4 linked regions of the Alligator mississippiensis genome follow. The protein of the gene in region 3 interacts with the protein of the main gene of each other region in a pairwise test. Links are inferred from orthologs where the notes say so. Each region holds a gene or a part of one and is shown on either strand. Other genes may lie near its edges.

The links.
Region 1: the proteins of CEP70 (region 3) and KAT7 interact in a two-hybrid assay, tested with the Homo sapiens proteins (2 studies listed by BioGRID and IntAct). The two-hybrid records come from large-scale screens. The link is inferred for Alligator mississippiensis from reciprocal best matches to the Homo sapiens genes CEP70 and KAT7.
Region 2: the proteins of CEP70 (region 3) and TEAD4 interact in a two-hybrid assay, tested with the Homo sapiens proteins (2 studies listed by BioGRID). The two-hybrid records come from large-scale screens. The link is inferred for Alligator mississippiensis from reciprocal best matches to the Homo sapiens genes CEP70 and TEAD4.
Region 4: the proteins of CEP70 (region 3) and MFAP1 interact in binary tests that used the Homo sapiens proteins (3 or more experiments, as listed by UniProt). The two-hybrid records come from large-scale screens. The link is inferred for Alligator mississippiensis from reciprocal best matches to the Homo sapiens genes CEP70 and MFAP1.

The regions. Positions count from the first base shown.
Region 1 is NC_081827.1:169,198,500-169,205,523, forward strand, and holds the start of KAT7 (histone acetyltransferase KAT7), read left to right. Parts: upstream 1-4,015; 5' UTR 4,016-4,299; coding exon 4,300-4,314; intron 4,315-5,527; coding exon 5,528-5,675; intron 5,676-7,024. UniProt on the Homo sapiens protein: Catalytic subunit of histone acetyltransferase HBO1 complexes, which specifically mediate acetylation of histone H3 at 'Lys-14' (H3K14ac), thereby regulating various processes, such as gene transcription, protein ubiquitination, immune regulation, stem cell pluripotent and self-renewal maintenance and embryonic development.
Region 2 is NC_081827.1:143,817,541-143,824,835, reverse strand, and holds the start of TEAD4 (transcriptional enhancer factor TEF-3), read left to right. Parts: upstream 1-4,258; coding exon 4,259-4,529; intron 4,530-7,295. UniProt on the Homo sapiens protein: Transcription factor which plays a key role in the Hippo signaling pathway, a pathway involved in organ size control and tumor suppression by restricting proliferation and promoting apoptosis.
Region 3 is NC_081827.1:243,542,486-243,549,364, forward strand, and holds the start of CEP70 (centrosomal protein of 70 kDa), read right to left. Parts: upstream 3,039-6,879; 5' UTR 2,868-3,038; coding exon 2,762-2,867; exon of another isoform or gene 2,737-2,761; intron 2,696-2,736; exon of another isoform or gene 2,240-2,695; coding exon 2,160-2,239; exon of another isoform or gene 2,139-2,159; intron 229-2,138; coding exon 115-228; intron 1-114. Other genes in the region: FAIM (fas apoptotic inhibitory molecule 1), read left to right, coding at 3,213-3,499.
Region 4 is NC_081834.1:741,840-749,548, reverse strand, and holds the start of MFAP1 (microfibrillar-associated protein 1), read left to right. Parts: upstream 1-4,694; 5' UTR 4,695-4,809; coding exon 4,810-4,888; intron 4,889-4,997; coding exon 4,998-5,217; intron 5,218-6,613; coding exon 6,614-6,743; intron 6,744-7,125; coding exon 7,126-7,313; intron 7,314-7,709. Other genes in the region: furin, read right to left, coding at 467-646. UniProt on the Homo sapiens protein: Involved in pre-mRNA splicing as a component of the spliceosome.

The sequences.
Region 1 (7,024 bases), about 74 Mb from region 3:
AAGGAAGATGAAAAAAGTTGCAACTTAAAAACCTGCCACTTTTTTTCCCCCGTTGTTTCTGGCTGGCACACTAGTTTTCCAAGAGTCACTCACTGGATTTGTAACATTAGAATATAAAAAAAGTAAAGTTTGCCTTATTAAAAATATTCAGTTGTACTATGCTCCATTAGGCTAATTCTAAAGAACCTGAAAAAAAATACTGACTTAAGCCTATAATCCAAATAGGAAGTAAATGTAAAAGTATTTCAAAACAAAGGTTATTTTGGCTCCTTTCCCCGCCCTCTAAAACTCTACCCAAATTGTAACTTTGGGTAAGACTGTCAACAGTATCTGGAGACTAAAGTCCTCAACTCCCACCAGCTTGGAAGGAGACTTTCACTCCTACTGGGACTTGGCAGCTTAAGCGACTCAGGCTCCTAAGTTTTATTTTTGTGTACCCCTCCAACAAGAACTGCAGACACAGGCCTCTACAATACTGGGTTCATTACTGTACTGGAGGCCTGTGTTTGTACAACCTATTTTTGTGTGAAAGAATTACAGTTTTGTTACAGATGGGTAAAAATGAAAACCACACAAGCCTGGAGGAAAAATTTGATTCTTTTCACGCCTTGCACATGTTACTCTGCTTTTTTAATTTATTGTGAATACTCAACTTTAAAAAAGGGGGGCTTAATGCATCTGCGGCCTGGTTATCCATCCTCTAAGCCAATGTTTTTCAACCATGATCCAAAAGTCAGTGGCAAGACTATATGAAAAGGTTGCAAGCAAACTTTAAAAATGCAGTTCCAGCCTGCAAGAGGCTGCTTGGGGCCCCTCATGCTCCACACCCTCCCCTGCCCCACACACTGGGGGGTTGGAGCCTGGGGGTGGGAGGCAAGGGGTTAGGACTGAGGGACACTGGGTCGGGACTGGCCGTTGATGCTTACAAATGGGTCCTGGTACAAAAAAGGTTGAGAACCACTGCTCTAAGCTACCAGGGAAGCGATTCTCCTACTAGATAGTCCACAGAACATTTGCTGGTTGCCCACACTACTTTTCCTTCAAAGACAGAAAAGTGCTATATGGTCTTTCTATATTTGTTTCTGCACAATAAAGGCACATCCAGGACTTTCCCTAGTATTTACTGAGACAGTGCTGCAGATGTCAAAGGGGTCCTATTAGAAGCAAAGGGAAATAGCCACGTGCTTAGGACCAGGAAAAGCTTAGCCTGGAGGCAGACACATGGCCCACACCAGGCAGGCACTTGTGCAGCCTGGGGAATAGCCTCGCTCCTTCCTCCCAAGTGCCAAGAAAGAACCCGACTGTGGTCTCCCAGCAGTCAGCTCCAGTGCTGCCAGGTGTATAACTATCATATTTGTACAATAATTTCAACCCTTGTTCAGTGTATGATCAATAACAGTAAAAGTGTTCAAAATGTACAATCATTTTTCAGGCAGCTAATTCATGCAGCATATGCAAAAGACAAGTTACTCTCAAGAGAGCCTTAACTGACTTTTGGGTTTGCTGTCAGCACTTTCTTACGACTTTTTGCCTCAAAACAAAGATTTTTTATTATTATTATTATTACTGTGGCAGTGCACTGTGTGTGCCTGCCACTTTAAGGGCCTGGAGCTAGCAGCCTCCAGGTGCCTGATTAGGGCAGCCATTTTTAGACACAAGGGCTGCCTATATAAGCAGGGCAGTTTGACTGCTAGAGGCCAGGCAGTAACATTGCCTGGCTGTAGGGCTGCTGTGAATGAGCTGGAGGTAAGGGGGAGCTGCGAGGGGCTGGTTAGGAGGCTCCTGGTCCTGGGCATGACCTGAAGTTGCACCCTGCTGGGAGTGGGTGGTCTGGTGGGGCTCTGTGGTGCGGGAGCCCCCAGGAAATGCCAGGCCAGTTACCACCCTGGTGGAAGGTAGGTTGGGGTGCCTTAACCCCTTGCCCCCACCACTGAGTGGGTAACCCCATGTGTTGTTTGAGGGGCCTGGGGGGTGCCAGTGTTGTGAGGCCCAGAGGGCGGACCTTGAGAGAGAGAGGGGGACTAGAGACCCGGCCCAAATGAGATAGTACCCTTGACTGGCCCATGCTGGGGCCAGGACCAGGATGGTCAAAAGGGCCAGGGGCCCACTGCGAGGGATGCCCAAGAGCCAGGGGCCTGGGGTCCCAACTGGCCTGGAGGTGGGCCAGGGCCAGTTAGCTGAAGGTCCCAGGGGGACCACACCTGAGAGGGGAAAATGGCTTTGGGGGGGCTTCTAGCCCGGATGAAGGCGGAGAGGCTGCCTGATCAGGAGGGATCATAGAGGGGTCCTGTTTGGGTGATTCTGGGGCCCCAGCGTGGGGGCCGGAGGAGATGAACATCAAGATGCCATCAGCGAGGCTTGGGCTGCGGTATTGGGGAGGTAGGAGCCACAGAGAGTGCCCCCTGGCATTGGGGCACCAAATAGGCAGCTTCCTGCTTAACTGACATCTTAATTGAACCAATTATTATCAAAGGTGTGGCGGGAGAGATAAGCAGGCGGTTGCCCACAGAGACGGGGCAGGCTGTGGAGACTGGCCCCGAGGAGGCCCCCCTGTCACTACTGTTCCAGGTCAAATTAGCCAAATTGGTTTCAAATCCTATTGACCAAGCAGAACTCAATTGTTCAAGTCCATGTGGTGCTACCACTGGTAAGTATCCTCCATCCCAGCTCTTCAGATAACCCAGTGACAGGCACCCTATGTGTAGGCCCAAGCCCAGAGATCTTGGGGTTTAGACACCCCTGGGGTTTTTTTTGTTGTATTTTTAATTTTCTTTATTCCCAGTCAAATTGGCCAAATCAATTTCAAATCCATGAGTCAGTCCAAAACCATAAGTGGCCCTACCACTGGCAGCATCCCCCACCCCCACCGGGGGCTTCACATATACCCAAAACCCTTGGTGGGCATCCTACTTGCAGGCCCATGCCCGGAGGCTTGGGGCTCAGATGCCCCTGAGCTTTGCCTACCCCCCAACTGCAAGACCCCAGGAGCAAGCCAGGGAGGAGTCCCCCATTTCCATGAAGTGGGCATAAAGCCAAGGTTAATTATGCATGACCTATGCAGGTACTATCCCATGCCAGCAGAGTGGTTTTCCCCAGGAGTGACTAGGAAGCCACCATGTTGATCATGGAATTTTCCTAGATAAGCATAGGCTACACTTGATCTGAGCCTTCAAGAGGCTGAAAAGCAGTAAGAACAGGTCTCTGCTTGATCTGAGCCAAAATGCCAAGCCTCAAAATAAAGAAACACTTCAACTCTGATGACCCAGTTCTCACTCACTCACTGGTGAGTTACAACGAACAATATAAAGTCAATAATAAGGCTTATTTGCATGCTTTTGTAGATATATTCGCATATTTTTCAGCAAATACGATCGTTTTTGAGCTCCCGATACCATAATGTCATGTTTAGAGACCTGACAAGGCTGGGCAGCCCCTGCCCCACACCGCTCACCGCCCGGCGGGGAAGGCAGCAGCAGGGACCCTGCTGCTCTTCCAGCCAGGGACCCGCACCTACCCCGAGCAGCATGTGATCAGGAAGCAAGAGGGCGCGGCCCGCACTGCCCACAAAAATGCCGGGACAGCGCCTTCCGCTTCCCGTCTCCCGGGGAACCGCCCGCACTCACCCGCGGCTCTTCGAGGCCGCACGAGCCCCTCGGTGCAGGTTCCGGTGCCCTCCACGCACACAGGCCGCTGGCTGCTCTGGGAAGAGGGAATCGCCTGAGGAAACCGCTCACTGCCTCTAACTGAGGGAGGGCACCAGATGGGGGAGGGGGAACACTTCCGCCAGAATACAAGATGGCCGCCTAGAGCCAAGCTAAGCTTGCCCTCGCCCAGCACAGCTCCCAGACTCACGGGTCAACATCCTGCCCGAACCCAAGATGGCCGCCTACGCCTTCAGTAGGCCCCGTCAGTCGCCTCGTTCTCAGAACCACGGCCGCCTCCCGTCCCCTCGGAAACGGCAGTGCCCCGAACCAAGATGGCCGCTGCAGCGTCGTTGCCGTGGAGCCGGACACCTGTCCAAGCCCAAGATGGCGGCGCCCGCTGGCGTGAGGCTCAGTGCGCGTCACGTGACGGGGGTGTGACCCGTGCCCCGGCGGAAGCGTGAGGGACCCAGCGGGGAGCGGGGGTTGCTGGCGGCCGCGGAGCGCGGGCTGGCGCGCCACTGGCTGTCGGGGACAGAGAGCAGGAGACACGGCTGTCACCACGGAGCCCGCCGGCACCACCACGGCGGCCGCCGCCGCTTCTCGGGCCGGAGGCGCTGGAGACCAGGCGCCCTCGCTGGCTCCGCCCCCGCCGAGGATGCCGCGCAGGAAGGTGAGGGAGGCCGCGGGGGCGGGAGAGGTTCTCGGGGAGGGGGCAGGGACCTCGCGGGGGCTTGCTCCCGTTCCCGCCCCCAGCGAACTTTCCCCCAGAGGCACAAAAACCGGGGGAAAAGAGCGGCCTTCAGCCCCCTGCACCCGCCTCTCTTGCTCCCTGAATGGCTCCCGCTGGCGCTCGCTGGGTCCCGATTGGCTAACATTGCTGTCAGTCATCTCCCCCCAACGGTTACCTTTCTCCCTCCCCCCGGCGGAGGCTTGTTCCACCTCCTTGCGGTTCCGATTGGACAAGAGAACGAAGGACCTGCGTGTGTTTGGCTTCGCCTAATGGCCTAGCTGGGCGCTGATTGGCCGGCGCGGCTGCCACTCCCCGCCCCCACGAATACCTCCCGCGCGTGCCTTGTTTCTTGTGTTCCCTTCCCCCAGCCGCCCCGAATGGATGTTTCTGTGGGAAGCGAGGTTCTAGCTGATAGGCTGGGGCAGCCCGTCAGTCACGCCTTAGAGCCGCGCCTCGCCTCTATGGGAATTCTTATTGGAGGAGATTCCTCTCGGCCCCTCCCCTCTCTGATGGTGATTGGTTGATGTAGAGGGAGGGAGGCAGATCTACAGCCGCGGGCGCAAAACAAAGCGGCGAGGGCACCCGCCCTCCCAGCAGGGCGCCCCCTGTCGCCTGGGCTGCCGCAGCCTTCTCTCTCCCTCCCTGTCCCAGCCCAGCCAGGCTCCTCTGGCCTGCCTGGCCCCTGCCCCAGCGGGACAAGGGCAGCAGTGACTTGTTCCCAGCTCCTAGTCCTGGGCTTGTCCTGTCCTCTCTTTGCAGATCAGCATCTGCCTTGCCTTCACTGTGGTGCACCCACCTGCCTGTCTGTGCCAGGACAGAGCGGGGCTTTCCCAGGCCCAGGGGAGGTGCTACTCCCAGGCTGTCCCAGGTTTTCATTTCAAGTGAGGCAACTAGTGCCTTGACAGTTCACAAGACTTCCTTCCAATGACACTGGTGCAACCTGTTTGTATTGGACAAGTTTGCAGAAGTCTGGAGTTACTGGTGCCACTTCCCCTCAGCTTGTGTTTCTCATACTGAAGGGAGGCTTTTCTCCAAAACGATCTGCCTGCAAAAAGTTTGAATCTGTTCTATAACATTCAGGCCCCAAACGTTCTTGTGTTAGCAGGAGTAGTATTGAAGTCTTAACTGTTCTCTTGCTAATGTGGTGCTGCAGAGGAACGCTGGCAGTAGTTCAGATGGCACTGAAGACTCCGATTTCTCTACTGATCCTGAGCATACAGACAGCTCTGAAAGCGATGGCACATCTCGGCGATCTGCCCGTGTGACTCGTTCCTCAGCCAGGCTGAGTCAGAGCTCGCAAGGTAATGCCTTTCTTCTACATCCCCCAAATGACACTTGGCGAACTGTCTCTATGTTCTCAGCTTGATATGCTTAAATACATTTTAGGGAATCTGTTCCTTCAATTTGGCTAACCTTCATTTGCTGTTTGTTTTTTTTTTCTCGTTGAGTATAATAATACTAGGGTGAGGTACAAAGACATTGCAGTGAAGCATTATCTAAATTAGGCAGCATAATCTAGCATTTTAAACTGGGGTTGGAAGTCAGGATTCCTGTGTCCTGGTTTACGGTAGTTAAAGGGGGTGGGAACTGAACCATTGGTTCTATGCTTAGCTTTGCTACTCATTTTCTGAGACCTTTAGAAGGTCTTGTAGGCTTTCTTACTAGAGTTCCTTAGTGCATAATGAATACTATCTACATGATAGAGGCTTTGTGATGTTTAATTTTTGAAGTGTTTAGAGACTGTTGACAGTTGTTATGCAGAAGCGCAAAATATTTGCATGAAGCACGTGTGATAAATCTCTGAAGCCACCTTTTGGTTATTTTTATAAATAACTTGTTTATTTGAAAACCTAATTTTCGAAACCTCTGAGCAGCTAATCATGCTTTGGAGTCCATTTTCTGCTAAAACTTCACTGTAACTCCAGTCCTGAAAACTGTACCTTTAGGCCTTTTCTCTAAAAACGTAGCCTGGTAAAATCACTTGGCTCTTATAGACTGTGTTTGTCACTAAAGTCCCCAAATAACTAAACCAAAAGTAAAATGTGGATAGTTGAGGGCTTTTAGGCTGTACAAATATGAAATTTGGATGGTTGTGTTATGGGTATGAGATGTTTTCATATCGGTGGAGTTTGTTGTACAACAGTATGTATCCAGCATATTGTCATTCGAGTCCATGTTGCATGTTTTTACGTTTTGACATCCAGATTGTTAAAGAGGGGTTGTTGTGCTTTTCCACCTCCTCATTTTCTTGATCTGAGAAATTTTCTTGGCTGATAGTAATTACTGTAGAAATTAAATTCCATCTGTTTGTCTAAAAAGAGAAATGGCAACAAAGGGGTAAGATCTTCTGATTCCCTTGTTTTATCTGTAGGCTTTGCTAAGAGAATTTTTCAGACAGTTTTCTTCCAGGTAAGAAATTCTTGTAGTTCTTGACCAGAGTTTTTTAGAAAATAAAGTTATTTTTGATTAGCATCTGAGGCATCCCTGTTTTTCAGCAAAAGAGAAGCACTTTTTAAAATAATTTGTTATCAACTCCCAAGTGGTAACAGTTCAAGACTACATACAGGGTGTCAGATACTGACGTGCCAAAAGCAGCTGTAGTACACGCAAAGCCAGTCTAAACAGTATTGATTCTCATTCAGACCTGCTG
Region 2 (7,295 bases), about 100 Mb from region 3:
CAAAGTCTTGTGGGAAATAGATTCAGTGAGGGGGTTTTCTTTCCTTGAAATCTCAGCTCCAGGAATAACATAAATTAATGAGAATCTCTGCTTTCATGTAAGGAGAAAAAACTTGTAATGTTCGGAGTTGCAGAGAAGAGCTTGAATGCGTGAACCCGAATGACTCGGAAACCAGAAAGGAAAATAACAGGGGCCCCAAATTTATACTTCTTTAAGCAATTTCAGGATTTTCAGGACTGGAGTCCTGATTTTGCCCTTGGACAATGGGAAGCCCCTTGTTATCTTCCCAGCACAGGCCTTGAAATAGAAAAGGTTCTCTGGGTCTGTGGAGGGTGGTGAATGTAGGTAAGGTGCCCTCACCAACTCTGGAGACAGGAGGAGGGTGATCTGCCCCTTTAAAATTGCTTGACCCAGTAGTTTCTTTGATTCTGCTTTTCTCCTTCATTTCTTTCCCCTTTCCCACTATTTTCCCCCTCCCCTTTTTTTTTACTTTTTTTCCTTGGCTTATTACTTGTTTCTCCTGAGTCTTCCTGTATTTCTTCTTCTCCATCACCTCTCTTTCTCCCTTCATTATTATTTGTGTTGTGATAGTGCATATGAGCCTTAATGAAAAGCAAGGCCCTTGTGTTAGGCAAAGCTCAATCACTAAAGAAAGATGATTTCTGGCCTGAAGAGCTTGCAGCTCACATGTGAGGCAAGATTCTGCTCATGCTTTGCTGCACTATCTCCATAGTGCTATCTAGTCTTCCTAATCTCTCTCCCCTTGCCTGCTCCTACTTGTACCCTCCTCTCCTCGCTTCTGGTTTATCTTTTTAATCCCTTGCTTCCTCTTTGCAGTCTCTATCCTGCTTTTCTGTTTTTCCCTCTTTCCCCTTTCCTTTCTCTTCCACCCTCTCTCTACGTATGATATTTATTCACTGCCAGTCTACACTTAGAAATTGTTCCAGAGTAAGTTTAGGCTGTCAGTTTAAGTCATAAAATGTGTTCCAGGTATCTTTCCTATGTAGCAGAGAATCCTTGAGCTTTACACTCTTCTCTGTGTCTTTCATGCTTAAAGTGGGGCCTCGTGGTGCCCCCTCCTAACCCCACTTGCCTTAGCCCTCTTCTGTCCTTTCCTCTCTTCATGAAACAGAGGCTGGGTGCTTCTGAGCTATCTATTGTGCTGTGTGATTTTTTTTTTTTTTTTTTTTTTTCCTACTGCTCAACTTGCTGTACTTGTAACGTGGGATTTTTTATTTTTTTTTTTATTTTTTTTTTAGCACTTTCTTTTTGTATTACAGGACAGACAGCCTAGCTCAGGGTGTGGACCAAGGGCTACATAGGAAGTTTTGATGAGCTTTTGCAGGTCAGGTCAGCAACCTCTCTACCCCTGCAACAACTTACCAAAACTTCATATGGGGCTTTAGGCAGGTGGGGGGCAATGTTTGGGAGCAGGATGGGCAGGTGAGGCTGATCTGCTCCCTGCACACCCTCCCCAGGTGGGGTGGGCCATGTGTGCATGGGGATGTGTGTGGGTTGTGTGTGTGTGTGGGGGGGGGGGCATGTGTGCATGTGTGTAAAGTGGGGGCTGCCTGGGTGCTAGGTTCAGAGCCAATCAGAGCTGAGGACAGGGAGGGGGAAGGGGAGGAGAAGGGGGAAGGGTGCGGTACATGCATCAGAGCTTGACTGGGTGGTGAGGTCTGTAGCTGCCCCTGCAATGCTCCACATGCGGCCAAGCCCCACACAGGGCAACCAGAGCCAGCCCAGCCTTGGTCCCAGCCCTGGCCAGTGAACAGCTTCTGGTGGGGCTGTTCCTAGTGGGGCTGCAGCTGGCGGGGTGCTGCTCGGTTCCCCTTGTCTCCAGTGGGAGTTGTCCAGCTGAAGCTTCCCCCCATCTGCCCACCCAGAGTCTCACAGCAGGGGCAGGAGTGGGAGGAGGAGCAGCTGCTGGAGACAGGTGGAGCAAAGTAACCCCTGGCTGGCTGCAGCCACATTGGGAACTGCTCCACTAGAAGCTGCATGCACTGGCTAGGACATGGGCCAACAGAGCTATTCTACCCCTATTGCTCCACAATAGAGGCTTCTCCTTCTGGTCCTGTCCCTGCTGCACCACTCCTGGCGGGTGGGGGAAGCTTCAGCCAGGCAGCTTCTGCCTTAGCTCATGGGGCTCTGGCTCTAGCACCCAGCTGCCTTCCACCCACTCAGCTGCATAGGTTTCTGTACTTGCACATGGCTGCTTATGGTGCCAGGTGGGTGGAGTGAGTAGAAGGCAGCCCGGAGGTGGAGCTGGAGCTAGAGACCCACACACTGAAGCAGGAGTCATCCAGCTGAAGCTTTCCTCCCCAGCCACCTGGAATAGTTCAGCAGTGAATGGACCAGCAGGAGGAGCCTCCATTGGAGGCAATGGGAGCAGATCAGCTCTGCTGGCCCAGGCCTCTGCCAGTGCATGCAGCTTCCAGCAGGGCTGTTTCCAATGTGGCTGCAGCCAGCCAGGGGCTACCTTGGTCCCCTCGCCTCCAGCAACAGCTTCTCTTCCCATTCCTGCACCTGTTGCACCACTATGGGTTGAGGGGAAGCTTCAGCTAGGTAGCTCTTGCTGGAGGCGAGGGGAACATGGAAACAGCCCCGCTGAAAGCTGCACACGCTGGTTGGGGCTCAGGCCAGCAGGCACAGGCTGGAGTATGGTGTGTGCTGCCCTGGTGGGAGTGGGTGGGTCTAGGCCCCATGCAGAGCACCACGGGGGCAGCCACGGGCTGGATCCCATCAGTTGGCAGTCTAGATCTGGCCTGTGGGCTGTATTTTGCCTGCCCCTGGCCTAGCTAGTTTAAAGGCCCCTAATCTGTGGCTTGTGAATCGCCAGTCCTCTAGTGGCTCACAATGCAAAACAGCAGCCAGTAAATTCACTCTGAAGGAGATACATACTTGTTCAGTGAGCCCCCAAGTAGAGCTTCACAGACTACACGTGCTCCCTGCCTCCCCAGTTTGACCACCTCTGTTTGGCTGGTTTGGTCTTCTCTATTGCAAAGGTTTATAAGATGACTGTTATTATTTGCATGATTTTAATGTCCAGAAGTATGTTGCTGCATAAATACATAATGAGAAGCATCTCTCTGCCCCAAAGCCCTTACGATCTATATAGACAAAATGCATGATACATATTTGGCCCACCAAGGGATTCTTATCTGGCCCATGGCAGGTCCTTCGGCTCCACCTGGCCCAGGTACAGGGAGTAGCCTGAGCTGGTAACACATGAAGCTGGTCCTGCTGTCCCAGGTGCGCAGCGGGGCTGGAATGGCACAGCGTCCGGACTCAGTTCTTGGCAGCCCCTGCAGTGGCAGCTCCTTCCAGCTGCTGCTGCCAGTCTCTGCTGCTACCTCCAGGCACCTCTGCCTGTCCACCCCGCACCCACCGCTGGCAGCATCAGATGGAGTAGCTGGGCAGAGTCTCCATGGAGACTGGCCCAGGATGCCGTGGGTTGGGTGTACTTAGCCAGGTGGATGAGATGGGACCACAGACAGGTGGGGAGCAGCATCAGGGAGCGGAACGGGTGGACAGGGCAGAGCCACTTAAGAAGTTTTGGTGAGCTGTTGCAGGGCAAGGGGGGTGCTGACCTGGCCCACAACAGCTCACCAAACCCCCCTAAGTGGTCCTCCAGCCCAAATAAGTACCCCGCCCCCTGCACTAGTCCATCAGGCTTTTAAGGAACTTGTTTGGAAAATGGCTTCCGCTTCTTGGGAAGCAGACAAGTCAGTGTTTAAAAACGACACCACTCACTCGCTCCAACCCAGTGAAACTGTACCCAAGAAAATTCCAACCTCAGTCCTGAGCGATGACTAGATAATTCATCACGGCTTTATGTTGTGTAGTGTCTTTCACACTGACTGAGTCCTGCCTGCTTTGGATCGTTAAATAATGCATTTACAAAGATAATGAATGCAGAGGGAAAGAGAAATTAAGAACAAGGGCAAGGAAGAGAGTGGGTGTGTTTTCTGATAAGAACTGGAAGTAGATGGCAAGCTAATGAACAAAGGCAATACCAGGAAGGCTATTCTGAGCAGAGCCTGCTGCCGAGGAGAAGGTTCTCTTCTGGTTGGTGGAGATCTTGTGTGCATTTCTGCATATTTTATTGTGTCAACTAAAGACAGTCTTCACAGTCTGATCCTGGAAGAGCCAAAGGCCTGTGACCAGCCCAGGGTCTCAAAACAGGGGCAACACTGAGCTGTTTTTCTTATACTCTGTTAGCGTTCATGGTGAAAAGATTCACTGAGTGAGACGGAGTATGTTTGCCCTTTTAGGTTCGGTGGCTGCTTCTCCAAGTGGCGCCTTGGAGTTTCTAACTGGCACCATTACCTCCAACGAGTGGAGTTCTCCCACCTCCCCTGAGGGGAGCAACGACTCAGGGGGCAGTGAGGCCTTGGACAAGCCGATCGACAATGATGCTGAGGGTGTGTGGAGTCCGGACATTGAGCAGAGCTTCCAGGAAGCGCTAGCCATTTACCCGCCATGTGGGCGGCGGAAGATCATCCTGTCGGATGAGGGCAAGATGTACGGTAAGGAGAACAGCTGGGGGAGTTTTATCACCCTGGGGAGAAGGAAGATCTCTGTCAACCATCAGGTCTGCCATGTGTGCTGCTGTGAGAGAGATCCCAAATGATGCAGCAGCTCAGGTTAAATATGTTTGGCAAAGAAAAGCAAAGAGGAATAAGAAAAGTGGATCAAAGTGGCATTTAAAAGAAACTTTTTCAGAAAAGACTCCTCAAGTTTTTAACTAAAGTACGGCATGTTTATCATGTTTTTCATGTTTATCATGTTTTTGATAAAGGTTTTGGTGAAGTCTAATACAGTGGCTCAATGAATGCACTCATGCTATCTTTGAAATGTAGCTCATGCTGTCATTGTTAGGTTCTCCCTAACTTTAAGTGGTGGAAGTCTGTGGTTTTGGTGCTGAAGATCCTAGGTTCAAACCTTCAATGATGGTCTCCGATCGTGGTAGCTATGTTAGTGCCCATGTCACATAGTCCTTGAAAGGGGAACTTTTTTTAGCATAAATTGAGTATGAATTCCCCTCTCTCCACTTCCCCATGATGGTCTTTTGCCTCCTGTCTGCCTGAGTATATGCATTTTTTCATCTTTAATTTGCTTTCTGCCAGGACATAAAGAAGATTAGACCTAAACTGTTCTCAGTGATGGCAGATGACAGAACAAGGAGCAATGGTCTCAAGTTACAGCAAGGAAAGTTTAGGTTGGATATTAGGAAAAACTTTCTCTCTAGGAGGGTGTTGAAGCACTGGAACAGGTTACCTAGAGTGGTAGTAGAATCTCTATCCTTGGAGGTTTTTAAGGCCCAGCTTGACGAAGTCCTGGCAGGAATGATCTAATTGGGGCTGGTCCTGCTTTGCACTGGGGGTTGGACTAGATGATCTCTTGAGGTCCCTTCCAACTCTAATTTTCTATGATGCTATGATTCTGAGATGAATCATAGCATGAAATCTCCTCAGGTCAAGAATAAAGAGAGGCCTTGTCCTTCAAGTGCAAAAGGGGTGATAGGAAAAGATGATTTAAGGTCATTTTAAAATTGTTCTTTACCCCTCTTTGCCAAAAACAGCTAGTGAAAACATTTGCTGTCCAGGGCCATGGAAACCCTGGACCATGGAAACCCAAAAAGGCAGTGTACACCTGGTGGAAGGGGGGGGGGGGGGGGGCTTATCTCCAAAGAAGAGTATACCTCCATTGCTTGGGCCTGTAGGGGGGCTGTTAGGAAAGCTAAGGCAGATATAGAGCTAGGACTAGCGTCCAAGATCAAAGATAATAAGAAGTCCTTTTTCAAATATATAGGGAGGATGAAGAAGGCACCAGGAAATGTGGGGCCCCTGCAAGATGTGCTGGGCAATCTGATAGTTGCACCAGAGGAGAAGGCAGACATCTTTAACAAATTCTTCACCTCCATTTTCTTGTGCAGGGACCGGGACTCCCCCACGGTGTTTCAAGACAGACTCGAGGGGAACGCCTCAAGACCTAAGGTTGAGGTGGACCGGGTTAGAGTGCTTCTGGAGGGGCTGGACGTGTTCAAGTCAGCAGGTCCAAATGCTCTCCACCCCAGGGTGTTGAGGGAACTAGCAGGGGTTATTGCTGGGCCCTTGGCACGGCTTTACGAGCACGCGTGGTGCTCAGGCCAGGTGCCAGATGATTGGAAAATAGCCAATGTGGTCCCCATCTTTAAGAAAGGGAGGACCCAGGCAACTATAGGCCCGTCAGTCTTACCTCAATCCTGGGGAAACTTTTTGAGAAGATCATCAAGGAGCACATCTGTGACGGGCCGGCATCGGGGATGATGCTCAAGGTCAACCAGCACGGTTTCATTAAGGGCAGATCATGTCAGACCAACCTGATTGTCTTTTACGATCAGGTCACAAAAGCATTGGATGCAGGTGTCGCCGTGGATGTAGTCTTTCTGGACTTCGGCAAGGCCTTTGACACTGTCTCCCACCCCATGCTCATTAAAAAACTAGGCGACTGTGGCATCGATGCCTGCACGGTCAGATGGATTGCTAATTGGCTGAAGGGTCATATTCAGAGGGTGGTGGTGGATGGGTCATATTCGACCTGGGAGAAAGTGGGCAGTGGAGTCCCCCAGGGCTCGGTCCTTGGGCCCACACTGTTCAATTTCTTTATCAGCGATTTGGACAACAGGGTGAAAAGTAACCTGTTCAAATTTGCTGATGATACCAAAATTTGGGGTGAGGTGGGCACGCTAGTATGGAGGGAAAGACTGCAGAAAGACCTGGATAGGTCGCAAGGGTGGGCTAACAAAAGCAGGATGCATTTCAATACAGAAAAGTGCAGAGTGCTGCACTTGGGCAGTAGTAACCGGCAACACACTTATAAGATGGGAAACTCCCTTCTTGAGAGCACGGAGGCAGAAAGGGATCTTGGAGTCATCACTGACTCCAAGATGAACATTGAGAGGGTCCAGAGGAGGGCCACCTGCATGATCCGGGGACAGCAGGGCAGACCCTACAATGAGAGGCTATGGGACCTGAACCTGTTCAGCCTTCACAAGAGAAGGCTGAGGGGGGACCTTGTGACTGTCTATAAACTCACTAGGGGGGACCAGAAGGGTTTGGGGGAGACCTTGTTTCCCCTAGCGCCCCCTGGGATAACAAGGAATAACGGCCACAAGTTGTTGGAGAGTAGGTTCAGATTAGACATCTGTAGGAACTACTTCACAGTTAGGGCGGCTAGGATCTGGAACCAACTTCCAAGGGAAGTGGTGCTGGCACCTACCCTGGGGGTCTTTAAGAAGCGGCTCGATGCCT
Region 3 (6,879 bases):
GCACAGCATCCCAAGGCACTCTTGAAAGGATCTCAAGGCATGCCAAGGTGCCACAACAAACAAACAAAAAGCTTTTCAAAACTGACATGATCTAACTTCTAAAGACACCCCTACCTGGCACCCTGTCATATTCCAGCTTCCTAATTCAACAGTCTTCTGTGCTGGATGGGAAGTCACAAGCTTGTGGCCTGCTGGAGTATTACTTGATAAAGCACAACTTGTTGGGATCTGAGAACAAAAGGAAAATTGGTCCTATCAATGAATCACTGACAGCTCAATTAAAAAATAGCAGTTTCAGCTTCTTTTGGATATGAAAAATATAAAAGCTACTTGTTCTCTTTCACAGAGATGATGTCTGTCAACTAGTCAAATTCTTCATCCTTTCCAAAGCCAAGTCCTACATTTTCTAGGTTTAATGATCTGGTGGCGCTCAATTTCTCGGCGCTTGACTTGAAACACCTTAGAAGAGGCCTGACTTTCAGAAAAGCCTATGCACCCCCTCTCTAAAAAATCAGGTCCCTTGCAGGTATCAAGTCAGACAAAAAGGAAACCGTCTCTATTTCCAATCACATAAAAATTCAGACCAAAACACCTGATGTGAACTGCATGATAAATCCCACTGTTTATAGACACCACCTTACACTGAGCTGCACTAGAATTTTTAAATTGATACAATTTAATCTGCAGAGAACGCTTGATAAAAGGGCCAAAACTAAGATGGTGGGAGTGGGTATTGATGGTTGCTCAACACTGTAGAAATATCAGGCCATCCTATTAGATACCTAACTATGGATTTAGAGCCGAACTTTTGCCCCTATTTCTGAATATTTTTCCAGAACTATCATTCAAAATAGGTTTAAGTCTGGCACTTTAAATTTAACAATAAATATTGAAAATATGAGTAACCTCATAACAAAAGCAAGAGGGGAAGAGTATTTCTATCAATGTACTATTTTTTTCCCTCTTCTTTCCTACGATCAACATTTACCTACATTCAATTCTAATGCATCAAAACACCATACAGGTCAGTCGCATCATACACACATTTAACTTGCGCGAATTCAACTATACGTGGGGTGGGAGGGGGGGCAGGGCTCGAGTTTGCATGTGTGCCCGGAGCTGTGGCTGGCCGCCGGGTGGGAGCAGCAGCATGGTGGTGCCCGGGCGGCACGCAGCCATCCCCACCCTGCACTGCCGCCGCCAGCCACACAGCTCTAAGCACGGCTCCGCAGCGGCGGCGGGAGGTTTTGGAGGCAGAGGCAGTCACTGCTGGCATGGTAATATGCGATTTCACTATACACGATTTTCGCCTTACGCACCGACTTTAACGTAACCCCTGCGTAAGATGCGACTGACCTGTACTTATTTCTTGCAGTTACACATAGTGATACAGGGTCTGATCTTTCAGAAGTAAAGTCATTAGACACTCGAAATGCTTTTGAAAGTCACGATTCCCATCAGAGCACACACCAACTGCTGAAGCTTCCTTAGCCTGATGAAGGGGTTTTGAACCCAAAAGCTTACTTAATAACTATTCTCCAACCATTTGGGTTGGTCTAATAAAAGATATCAAATTCACCCAAGGAACCTTGTCTGCCTACGATCCCCATCAAGGATTTGAATGAGCATAGTGGATAAAGAGGAAATTTATGTTGGAGAATGGTTAGCCTTTTTATATTACAAACATAGCAGTTGGTAATTCAATTCGGGTCAGACTCGATGATCTAATAGGTCCCTTCTGACTCTCAAATCAATGAAATCTATGAATACCCTTTTTTGGGGGAAGGCAGAACAACTAGTAGGGGACCATGATCTGGTGTGCGTGGCGGAGTCTTGCTTCTTTGAAGATCTCTTTTTTTTTGTTGGTGTTCATTTGTTTGCAAAATAATTATTGCACATCGAACAGTGGGCCACCAACATTAGAAATGTTTTTTAATACAAAGCATCCGGTAGGTAACCTTCACTTAATCTGCTTGGGGGTTTTCAAGAGGAGTTTGGACAGATATCTGGCTGAGGTACTACGATCCCGGCACTCGTTCCTGCCCGGGGTAGGGGGTCGGGCTTGATGATCTGTTCAGGTCCCGTCCGACCCTAGAAACGACAAAACTATAAGAAACTACGCTGTACACGCAACACACCGCTTAGCTTCATTGCTCTACCTCAGCCATAACAAGCAGCTCCCGTGTCGCGGCGCTCAGGGACCGGCTGTCGCATCCCGCGGCTCTCCTTCGTGACGCTGCTTAAAAAAAAATCAGGAAGGAGAAAACCAATGAGTCCGAAAACAAGCCCAGGACAGCGACACCGACATCTGCTGCGGAACGATATTTTGCAAGGGCCAACTAAAAAAATTATCAGAGCCGCGGTCCATGCCGGGAAGGTCGCGGTTGGGCTGCCAACGAGAATTTAATATCCCTGAAGACCCAGATTTTTTTTTTTTAAATGACAAATATCTGCACAGATTTTCTAGCGCGACCCCAAGGGTCAGCGGCGGGACGGGGGGGCGTTTCAGGACCACCCTGCAGCGGGGCACTGGGTAGCTCGGCAGAGGATGCCCAGGAAATGCCTCTTTGATGGCGCTGGGTTTCTTTGGGCCGTGAGGAAACCAGAGAGCAGCCAGAGGGTGGGGGAGGCAGCTCAGCAGCTGGGGGGCCCTCCAAGGTCCTGGGGGAAAACCAGGGCTGGCCCCGACCGGGAAGGCCTCAACCCCGGTCTAGTAGGAGACCTTAAACCCCTCACCCTCACCCGCCGCCGATAACCCCACCCGAAAGGAATCCAGCTTCCGGCTTCCTGTCCTCTGACTTCCTGTTGTGGCCCCGCCCCGGAAGGAACCGTCTTCCGGCTTGCGAGCTTTCTGCACAGCCCCTCATCCGCCGCTCCGAAGGAGTTGGCTTCCGGCTTCCGGCGCTGCGCGCGCAGTCACGCAGCCCCGCGGCTCGGAGGAGGCGGCGGCGCCGCGGGGCCCGCTCGGGCCGGTGCAGGCGCTGCCATTGCGGGAGCGGAGGAGCCGAGGTAGGAGTAGAGAGAGGCCAGTTGCTGCACAGGAAGGCAGGCTCTTCCCCCCCCCCCCCGCAAAAAAAAATTCCCAGTCAAACCAGGCGTATAAAAATTCCTCCTGCCCCCCACAGCGCTGGTTTCAGTGCAGACAGCGGGCAGGTTGCGGTTGCGGTGCCCCCCCGGGCTGCAGGGGGGGGCCCGTCAGGCGTTAGTGGCCTATGGGTAGGGAAAGGTCAGGCTGGTGTCCCGGGAATGGGAGACGAATAAGACGGACTGGACTCGGAGGCAGGCGGACGTGGCGACGAAGGGTGCGGATGACGGTTATCAACCAGCACCCCCCGTTTCGACTTGGCGATGTCGGTTTCGACTCGGCGACGCTGGATCCGGCGCGCCGGCGTCGCCCGTCTGCCTGGAGAGCATCTGTCCGAACGTCCTCGGGCGCTTTGAAGAAGGCAGGCGAGACTCCAGGAAACCTGCGGCCAAGACTCGTGAGGAGACTGGAAAGGTCCGGCCGAGTCGCCTCAAAGAAGTCCTTCCAAATCCTTACGATTGCTATGTATGATACGAATGCAGCTGTGTATCCAGGTTGTAGCCGTATTGGTCTAGAGGAAAAGGCGATCACGCCTCGTAGTCGAGGTGATCTCGTTTATTTGGCCAATAAGATTTTTGCAAAAAAATTCTTTTCCTTTTTTTGCAAAAAACCTTGTTGGTCTAATAAAAGAGATCATCTCTACTACGAGTCTTGATTGCCTTTCACTGTTGCTATATTACTTATGTGTAATTGATTGAGTACAATTTCTGAGTTATTTTTGGTGGGAAGATGGTATCGGTTCAGAAACCAATCCCCCAATTATAACATTGTTTCCTATGGGAAACTGCATTGCGAATTACAATGTTTCACCTTAAGACACGGTTTTCAGGATTGAGTGGTGCTGTAAGTCCGAGGACGGCCTGTATAGAATATAATTAATGGTTGAGACAAGGGCAGCCTGTGCTTCTTTCTCCCTGTCTGGACTCGAAAATAAAGGGAAATGCGCTGAAATTGAAGAGGGAGATTTAAAACTGGTATGAAGAGGTGTTTCGCACGTTATTTAAATTGTGGCATTTGTTACAAGGAAGCTGTTGGGTAAGATGGAGAGAAGAACAAGATTTACAAACGGACTGGATTGTCAAGACTTGTTACAATTCATTATTTGTACTGCAAGACTTACACTAAGCATTTTGGAGCGGTGACTTTCTTAGTTTTGTTTTGCACAATACCTTCCCCGATTGGATTGAGTCCCTGCCGAGGTCTCCTAGGAGCTACTGTAACATAACTATTAGAGACCAGGTTGAGACCTCAGTGGGAAGCCACTTATTCCCCATCTTAGTAGTGTTGTGTTTGTGCACCTTCCTCCAAAGTATTTGTAGCTGGTCATTGCCTTAGAGACAGGTAGGCCATGTGGAGCCAAGTACGGTGTGGTGGTTCCCATGTTTTTCTACTTCTGGGGGGAAAAAAACGTACTAATCCCCAGCTCCACAAGCACTTACATGCAGGCTTACCTGAAAGGTAAGGCACATTAAGTATTTGAAAGATTCTTGCTTTTGCTTTCAACACAAACCCTTCCACCGAAAACCAACTAAAATGTTGTATAGTTTTCCTTGGATGATACTTCCTTCTGCTCCTAAAATGTCCGGCATCAGCTAGAAATTTCTGTATTTGTCATGACCAGGTGGCTTACTAGTGGCAGCTCATGTGATCTCTGTGATTAGACTGCCAAAATGCTTCGGATGTTACCTTCTCTTCTACTTAAGGCTCAAGCCTGTGCTTCTGTTGCCATTTTTTTATTTCCTTGGGGCTCTAAAGAATAAAAATAATTTAAAGGCCAAATTTTCATAAATAAAAAAAAAACAACACCTAAATCTCATTTTGCTAACCTCTTCTGGTAGCTGATGAGAACTGCATATTTAAAGCAGGAATGAGTCCTCTCTATGGATATTTTAAAATAACATAACAGGACCTTTGTATTTCTTCTGGTATTTTGCATTATACTTCTTTACATATGTGTGTAGGCCATGATCAGCACTAGAATCTTAGCTTGTGCTTATTGTTAAGCACTGTTTAATTTTTTTTTTTTAAGGAAAATTTTTCGTGTCCCAAGTCAAATCGGCCAAATCAGTTCCAAATCCATGTATATGTGGCCCTGCTGCCGGCTAGTATCCTCCACCCCTGTCTGGGGCTTCAGACGCCTCCATATTCTTTGGCAGGCATCCCATGTGCAGGTCCAAGCCTGGAGGCTTGGGGTTCAGATGCCCCAGAGTTTCGCTTGCCCTCAACTGTACGGCTGCAGGAGCAAGCTAGGGAGGAGTCTCCCATTTCTATAAAGTCAGCGTATAGCCAAGATCCTGCCACTGGAAGTGAAAGTTGGAGAATAATTATGGATTACCTCGGTCAGGGTACTACCCCCCCACCACATTCATGGTTTTCCCCTACCAGTAGGAAAACCATGTTCCATGGTCATGGTATTTACTTACTGTTAAGCAAATCCTTAAGTCTCTTTGCAGCCTATTGAAAGCTACCTGCATGCTTAAGTTCTTTGCTGAGTAGGGACCCTGGAACTGTCTTCTGCCTGAGTTTGGGTAACTTCTAGCAAAAATAGTACTTCTATACCAAAAATGCAGATGAATTAAACTACAGTAAATTATAGCTATTTTGTAAACAAAACTGTAGATGAGTATGCTAGACTGCATAGATAAGAATTTGTAGTTCCTTTTTGTCAGCCATTACTTGTAATCATATGCTTAAAAGAATGATGCACAAACCCTGGGAGTTTGGTCCCATCTTTTATAACGAGTGCACTAATTTGTTCCCTAGGAGCTACCTGTTTCGTTATAACATTTTTAAGAGAAGGCTGTTTATCGTTAGACACCTTGAAGATGAAAGAGCAGATCAGCAGTCTCTTAGAGCAGTGGTTCTCAACCTTTTTTCTACCAGGGCCCATTTGCCAAGATCTGTAGCCTGTCCCAACCCATACCTCCTGGCCCTGCTGGTGCCTGACCCCCATTTTCCTGTCCCGTCTGTCCCCATCGTCCCCCATCTTCCCCCCCCCCAGCCATGCTGGTGTCCCTCACTCCTGACCCACAGCCCCTGCCCCCACAGCCCTGCTGGAGGGACCCTGGCTGCCCCCCAGTCCCCCTCGGGCCAGAGCATGGTGTCTGTGGCAACCCTGGCTCATGCGGGTAGCAGCAGAGTGAGTCCGGCCCTGGCATGGACTGACGGTACCACCTGCCCTAGACTGGGACTGCTGCACCACACCAGGCAGTCTGATCATGGCCACTTCCTTCCCCCACCCCTGTGTCTTCCAGCTGCCCTGCCCCTGTGAGTATAGGCACCAGCTCTGCTGCTTCCGGCTTAGCCGTGCAGCTCTCCCCGACCCCCTTCCCCCATTGGAAGGGGTAGGCACCTTCCTGTTGCCCCTTTGCCCTGCCACAGCTTGTGACCCTTTGAAATTTTCTTGCGACCCACTTTTGGGTCCTGACCCATGGGTTGACAAATACTGTATTAGAACCAGGTAATTGCAGTCTTTGACTTTCTATTTTTTTTATATTAGCAGCAATGTATGCATGATCAAATGTAGATTTTATTTTTTTTTTTGCCCCGCTTGCTTGCTTGATCAGGTTAATGTGATTATTGATGAGTATCACAGCAGCTTAGTAAGATTAGTGTGTGGTAAACACCATTCAGAGCTTATTTCTTTGAGTACTTTTGTTTAGAGGTGAAAAGATAGCTTTTTCTGCCTTGCACTTAGCTTGCTCCAGCTATGGAATGAGTGGAGGAGGGGCTTTAATTTCAGGAGGGCTGCATCCTCCACCCTGTCCCCTTCAAAATATTTTGTTTTGCCATAT
Region 4 (7,709 bases), on a different chromosome or scaffold from region 3:
TCCGCGCTCTGGGCTCAGCACCCGCCGTGCGGCCCCCACCCCGCCGGGCGAGCTGTGCGTGCCCACCGCAGGAGGCAGCACCAGAGCCATGCCCCGCACACCGCTCCCTCCTCGCTCCCACGCAGGCTTCCCCCGCCAGAGACCCCTGCCCGGGGCAGACTGGACCCGTGCACCCCCACTCCCAAGCCACCTGGTCCCCCAGGGCAGACAGCCCCTGCCAGGGCCCTGGGCGACACGGCACAGGCCCCGCTCACCCCATGCCCATCAGGCCACAAGTCAATAGCACACACGGCGGGGGCGCAGAACGGGTGACCCAGGTGCCCGCCCCTGGCCTCGGCAGACACGCCTGGCCTTGCCGTCAGGGACAGCAGCTCCCGCAGGGGCCCCGGGGCCGGGCAGAGGCAGCAGAGCGCCCAGGCTGTGAGGGGAGAAGGCAGGGCCCCCGGCGGGCTGGGAGGAGACTCACCGGCCCCAGGTTGAGGAATCCATGCTTCCTGGCCAGCCTGTCAGCCTCTCGCGGCCCTGCCGGCACCCGCACTGCCCAGGTGTTGGTGTAGACGCGCTGCACGAGCACCTCCTGGGCCAGCAGCACCAGGGCCGTCACCAGTGTCCAGAGCAGGAGCAGCACGCGGGGCCACAGATCCATGAGCGCGCCGGGGTGGCCGAGCGCCGGGAGCAGGGGGTCCAGCGACGGCGCTTCTGCTCACAGCCGCTGCATGCCCAGGTGCCTGCTCTGCCTGGCCGGCCTCCCCGCGGTCCGAGGGATCATGGGGCTCACGTCCGGGCGGCAGCCGGGCCCAGCGGCAAAGACGGCAGCAGCCGGATGGCAGGGACAGACCTTGGCACCACGACCTGGGGGCAGGAGGAGTAGTGGTTAGACACGCCCGGGAGCACGTGGGCTGCCTCTCCCCGCTCCCTGCCGCGTGGTGGACCAATGGCGCTGCCAGGAGCATGCAGGCGCAGGTCAGCCCAAGCCAGGCCCGTGGGGGTCTCCGCAGGCAGAGGGAGCGCTCGATCTGCGCCACCTCCGCGCCCCCCGCGCAGCAGGGCCCCCGGCAGCCTCCTCTGCAGGCGCTGACCCAGGCAGCTGCTGCCGGGCTTGGGAGCGCGAGGTGGAGGCGGTGGCTGGCGAGAGGCCCGGGTGCTGGAGCACAGCGCGCTGTTTACCCTGCCTGTTGGCCAATGTGTGCTGACACGCGCGTGTACAAACAGAGCAGGGATGTGGCCGGAGCCGGGAAGTCACCTGGGCCAGCCCCGCGGCTGGGGAGCAGGGACCGACACGTCGCAACCCCCGCAGCAATGGGAGCGCAGCCCCGCGGCCCCAGGGCAAGGGCGACCGGTGCGGGTGCATCTGCGTGCCCCCCAGCCCAGCACACACCACCCCACAGCACCCCCGGCCCCGGCCCCGCCCGCGGAGGGGGGCAGCGCAGCAGCTCAGGCTGGCTCCGGCTCGGGCCTCCAGACAGCCGCTGGTGGAAGCCGTGGCACTCGCAGACCCTCCGGGGGCTTGCAGGCCTCCCGCCCGGCTCTGGGCACGGCGCTCCGGCTACCCCGGGGAGGCCGGGCCGCAGAGCCCTGGTGCGGCCGCACGGGGGTCTCCAGCCCCGCGCCCGCGCCGAGCACCCGGCAAGAGGACGTGCGGCCCGGCCCCGGCCCCCCCCGCCCGGCCGGCCGGCCGGCCGAGACGGCGCCGCGGTGACACCCGGTGACTCACCGCCCGCCCGCCCGCCCGCCTCCCCCTCGTCCCGGGCGCGGCGCGGCGCGGCGCGCCTGGCCGGCCGGGGCCCCGGGCAGCGCCGGTCCGCAGGGCCCTCGCCCCCTCCGCGGGCGCGGCGGCAGAGCGGGCCGGGCGGACCCGGGCACGGGCCCGACACACGCTGTCACCGCCCGCCCGCAGCTCCCCGGCCCAGCCTGTCCCGGGGCCCGCGCACCAGCACGGCCGCCTCCCGCCGCCTCGCCTCGGCCCGGCCCGGCCCCGGCGCTCACCTCCGCTCCGCTCCCCGGCCCGGCTCGGTGCCCGTGCGCGGCCGCGGCCCCTTTATGCTGGGCGGCACCGCCCCGCCCGGCCCGGCCCAGCGCGGGGGACGGGGACGGGGCCGGGCACGACCCGGCTGTCAGCACCGCCCCGCCCGGCCCGGCCCGGCCCGGCCTGCCCCGGCGCCGCCGGATGCCGCCTCCTGCCCGGCCCGGGCGCTCCTCCCGCGGGGCGGCGCCGGCGGCGGGGAGGAGCCGCGGGCCCGGCCAGGCCAAGGGCAGCGGCGGGAGCCGAGCCGAGCCGGGCCCCGGGCACACGTGGCGCTGCCCGCTGCCCGCCGCGCGCCCAGGGCCGCCACCAGGCCGCCTTGTCCCGCTCGGCCCGGCCGAGCGGGGAAGGGCAAGGGCCCGGCCCGGCCCCCGCCAGGCTGAACCGGGGTCGCTACCGGGGGCCCCGCTGCAGCCGACGGGCCGTGGCCGCCGCTCGCGGAGCGGCAATGCCCAGCGCCCCGGCCTCCCGCCCAGCAGGGCAGAGGCGCGGGCACCTGCTGCGGGGCGCACCCGAGGGACCTGCCCGCCACTCCTGGGCCGGTGGCACCCGAAGGCCCGATTCCCACCTTGGCTCGGGCCGCAGCCACCCGGCCTGCCCGGAGCAGAGCGCAGCGCCGCCCGGGGCTGCCCCTCTTGGGCCCGGGCAAAGGCCGAGGCTCCCAGGGCAGGAGCCAGCTGGAGCACAGCCCCCGCCTGCTGCCAGGCTCTGCCGGGACGGGACAGCACAGCACAGCACAGGACGTGCTGGTGCCCGGTTTCCAAGCGGGTCTAATCGTTTCACCTGCGGGGTCACGTGGCGCAGGTCTCTCCTTGCAGCCGCGCCGCCACCTTCCCACAGCGGGACGAACTGGGGCACCCGCGCCGGACCCGTACCTCGATGGGTGGGAGCAACAGGGGCTGCGAGCGCCAGGACCAGGTGCCCCCGAGCAGCGCTCCTCTGCAGCCAGAGATTGGGAAACAGCTAGCTGATGGCATCCCCGCGTGCCCGCACCCCCACGCGCTCGGTGCTGGCACCAGCCGGCACACACAGGAGCTCGCAGCACTCGATCCTGGCGGGCACTGCCGGGGGAGCCCACAGCAGCCTTGGCCGTGGCCCCGCAGCTAAGCCAGCTCACGCCCTGCTCAGGCTGCGACCTGCAGGACCGGCTCTGCCCAGGCCCTGCAGGCAGGAGCGCGTCTTGCTCCTGAAGCAGCGCAGCACGGCTGCGTTGTGCAACGCGCAGGTTTGCTCGGAGCCGCGCCAGGAGCGCAGCAGGGCGCGCCCAGCCGCCACGGCCAATTAGCGCGGGAGCGGCAGCGGGCTCCGCGCTCCCTCCCTTCCCGGGGGCCTGCTCCACAGCGGGGTTTCTTGTGGCCGAGCCGGGCCACGCCAGACCCTGCCACCAGCGACTTGCCCTCGAGGCCTCCGTGAGCCAAGCCCCTGCCCCCGGGGAGCTTTGCCTCGCGGGTACGTGGACCCCACGGCAGGCCATACGCCCAGGCGCTGCCCGCCTGCCAGGCTCCCCTCCAGGTGGCCCTGGCCCTGGCCCTGGCACCAGGGCCCTGCTCCCCCCGTGCCGAGGGCAGCCCCCGGCACCGCTCTCCCGCCCCAGCAGGGACGCGCTCACAAAGGACGAGCCGCAAGTGCCGGCAGCTGCCTGTGAAACAGGATCTCCCCGGGCAGGCATGCAGGGCCCTGGCCGCGCGCCAGGCTGCGACGGCGCCGCGCACCTGCCCCTGCCCCAGCCCCAGCCCCGCAGCTGCTCCGCGTGCCGGGCCCAGGCCCCGGGCTCGCAGGGGCCACGCGAGCCTCGGCGTCGGCTCCTGCACGTCCGCCATCGCCGGCTCGCTCGCCCGCCCCTGCTGCGCCCGGCGCCCGCTCTGCCCGGGAACCCCGAGCGACAAGGCCGCTCACGCCGGGGCCAAGGCGGCGCTGGCAGCGCCAGGCAGGCCCAACGCTGCGGGCTTCCCCAGCAGTGCCGGGGCCCAGCAGCCCGTGCTTGCTCCACAGTGCCGACCAGGCCCGGTGCTGCGAGCGTCCCCAGCAGTGCCCTGTCCACACTGAGGACAGGCCCACGCGCGCTCTAGCAGGGACTTGGCGCGCGTTTCTGCCGCCGGCTGCCGTGACACGGCGGGGCCCTTCCAGCGTCCTGCGGGCGCGGGGCAGGACCGCCACCCCTGCCCTGCCGGGAAGCAGAGGCCTCTTCCTCTCTTCCAAGAAGGGCAGGAGCGGGACGGGGCTCGCGGCCCATGACGCAGCCCCGGCCCGTGCCCCGGTGCCAGGCTCCTCCCCCGCACTGTCGGGAAGCGCCCGGCCTGGTTTCCTGCCTTGCGCGCAACCGGCTGCGGTTGACACCTGGTGCCTTGCACAGAAACCTCCTCGCCTGCCCGAAACTGGGTCACCCGCTGCGGGCCGGGGGCGGCCAGAGGCTACGCCCGCCTGGCCCAGGGCACGGGGCAGGGCACGGGCAGGGCCGCTCGCGGGGCGGGGCGGGGCGGGAGAAGCCGCCCACCTGCCTTGGCACAAGCACCACCCCAGCCCCGGGACCGACCCCACCAGGCCACTCTCTCCCACTTCCGCAAACTCTATCCCCTCCTTTGACCAGAGCCCCCACTTCCGGTCAGGTGGGAGGGGACCGCTGCCCTCTTCCGGTTCCGGGGTGAGGGTTCAAGTGCCGTCGGAGTTGACTTCCGCCTTGGCTTCTCCGCTGTCCCCAGCTTCCGGTTCCGGCGGACGGGAGCGGGTCTCGGTCTCGGTCTCGCTGTCGGTGGGTCCCGGCCGGGCCCGGAGCAGCCGCCGCCGCCATGTCGGTCCCCAGCGCCCTGATGAAGCAGCCGCCGATCCAGTCCACGGCGGGCGCCGTGCCCGTCCGCAACGAGAAGGGTGAGGGGGGGGCGGTATCGCGGGCCGGGCCGGGGGGCGGGGGTGAGAGGAGGGAGGCCGGGGCAGGCCCAGGCCCCGGGCCCGGCGCTCACCCGGCCCCTGCCCGCAGGCGAGATCTCGATGGAGAAGGTGAAGGTGAAGCGCTACGTGTCGGGCAAGCGGCCGGACTACGCGCCCATGGAGTCGTCGGACGAGGAGGACGAGGAGTTCCAGTTCATCAAGAAGGCGAAGGAGCAGGAGGTGGAGCCCGAGGAGCAGGAGGACGACTTCGCCAGCGACCCCCGGCTGCGGCGCCTGCAGAACCGCATCAGCGAGGACGTGGAGGAGCGGTGAGCCCTGCCCCGAGGTCCCCGGGAGCCGGGCCGAGCGTCTGGGGCAGCGAGTCGCCAGAAGCGCTCGGTAACAGTGCGGCCCCCCCATCGCCCCCAGCCCCCGGCCGTGCTTCTACGGCGAGAGAGCCGCCCGTCACGAGCGCGTTTCTATTTGACCGAAGTCCCAGGAGCGAGGTGCTGCGCGAGGCCACGGGCTGCCGCGGCGTTGCTCAGCAAGCGAGGAGCAGGCTCCCCGCGGAGGCTGTGCTCGTGGCACAGGGGAGGGGCGGCCTCCTCCCGGGCAGGCCGGCGGCTCGGTGCTCAACGGGGTTCACAAAAAATGGGTTCCTGCTGCCTTGCGAGGGAGTGCCCAAGCTGTCGAGGGGTCGGCTGCGGCTTGTGCTTCAGCACAGGCTGCGTTGCCTGATGGCACTCAGGGCTGTCACGCTTCATAGACTCGTAAAACTCGGGTCGGAAGGGACCTTGTAGATCTTCAGGTCCGACCCCTGCCTGGGCAGGAGGGAAGCTGGGCTCAAGTGACCCCAGCCAGGTGGACATCAAGCTGCTTCTTAAAGCCCCCCAGGGTAGGAGCCAGCACCACTTCCCTTGGAAGTCGGTTCCAGATCCTAGCCGCCCTGACTGTGAAGTAGTTCCTACGGACGTCTAATCTAAACCTACTCTCCAACAACTCGTGGCCGTTATTCCTTGTTATCCCGGGGGGCGCTAGGGGAAACAAGGTCTCCCCCAAACCCTTCTGGTCCCCCCTAGTGAGTTTATAGACAGTCACCAGGTCCCCCCTCAGCCTTCTCTTGCAGAGGCTGAACAGGTTCAGGTCCCGTCGCCTCTCCTCGTAGGGTCTGCCCTGCTGCCCCCTGATCATGCTGGTGGCCTCCTCTGGACCCTCTCCATGCTGGCCACATCCCTTCTGATGTGCGGCACCCAGAACTGGACACAGTACTCCAACTGCGGCCTGATCAGTGTCACGTAGATGAGGAGGATCACCTCCTTGGACCTGCTTGAGATGCACCTGTGGATGCATGTTAGCGCTGCTGACCGTGACCTTGCATTGTCGGCCCATGTTCATCTTGGAGTCAACGATGACTCCAAGATCCCTTTCTGCCTCTGTGCTCTCAAGAAGGGAGTTTCCCATCTTATAAGTGTGCTGCCGGTTACTACTGCCCAAGTGCAGCACCCTGCACTTGTCTGTATTGAAACACGTGGTGTCTTAGTTGCGTAAGATTCGCATGCAGGTGCCTGATCTGTGGCACTAAGGAAGAGCGGGGCCCAGATCCATCCTCCTGGTAACCGGTGGAGTCACAACAGTAGATTAGGAAGGTTGGGGTGAGGCTTGGGGCAGGTTTGTGGGGCGTTGGTACAAGGTGACTGAGGTGCTGGGTCTGGGGCCTGTCCACAGGCTGGCGCGGCACCGCAAGATTGTGGAGCCAGAAGTGGTCGGAGAAAGCGACTCGGAGGTGGAGGGAGAGGCGTGGCGCATAGAGCGGGAGGACAGCAGCGAGGAGGAGGAGGAGGAGATCGACGATGAGGTACGTGCAGGGGCGCAGCAGCTGGTTGCAAGTGTGCTGCCGGAGGTACTGGTGCCTCCGGGCCTCCCAGCCGGGTGGGACAGAGGCTGCTGCTGGCAGAACTGGACAAGGCCGCGGAGGCTGGGTGTCACTGTGTAGGCGGCTCGGACTGACCTTTTGGGCGACAGGCTCCTTCCAGTCCTCACTGCAGCTGGGAGGGGGCAGCAGGACAGAAGCTTTTGTTAGTCCAACACATGCCACAAACTTTGTCTGTGATGTGACAGAGCTGGAAGGGACTTGACCACTGGTCCCTGCTTGGGGTGGGGAAGCTCTGGAGGCAGAAGAACAGAGGAGGTGGAAGGGTGGTGGCCCTGACACCTTGGTCTGGGGTGGGCTCTGTCAGGAGATTGAGCGTCGCCGCGGGATGATGCGCCAGCGAGCCCAGGAGAGGAAGAACGAGGAGATGGAGGTGATGGAGCTGGAGGATGAGGGCCGGTCTGGGGAGGAGTCGGAGTCGGAGTCTGAGTACGAGGAGTACACAGACAGCGAGGACGAGATGGAGCCGCGCCTCAAGCCCGTCTTTATCCGCAAGTATGTGCCACAGCTGCCTGCCCGGGGAGGCTCTGGCAGCTTGTGGAGGGCAGAACGCCAGCCTGGGCCACTGTTCAACCTCTGCGTGAGGAAGCAGTGGCTCTTCCTACCACAGAGCAGTGGCAACAGGTGCCTGAGCTGGAGAACCAACTAATGGCCCCTTGGGTTCCAGCCCCAGGTTGGGTGCCAGGCCTGGCATGTTGCAGCTCTGGTCCCCAGGGGATGAGCATGGAGCAGTAAGGCTCCAGACAGCCTTGCCATGCTGCAGCCAGCTCATCAGCTACTATCACCCCCTTCCTCCCCTGCCCCCCCAATCCTGAACAGCCTGGGTGGGGAAGTAACAAAGCAGGTCTGCCTAGAGCCAACCCAGAGGGGTGACCTCACCGCCATGGTGCA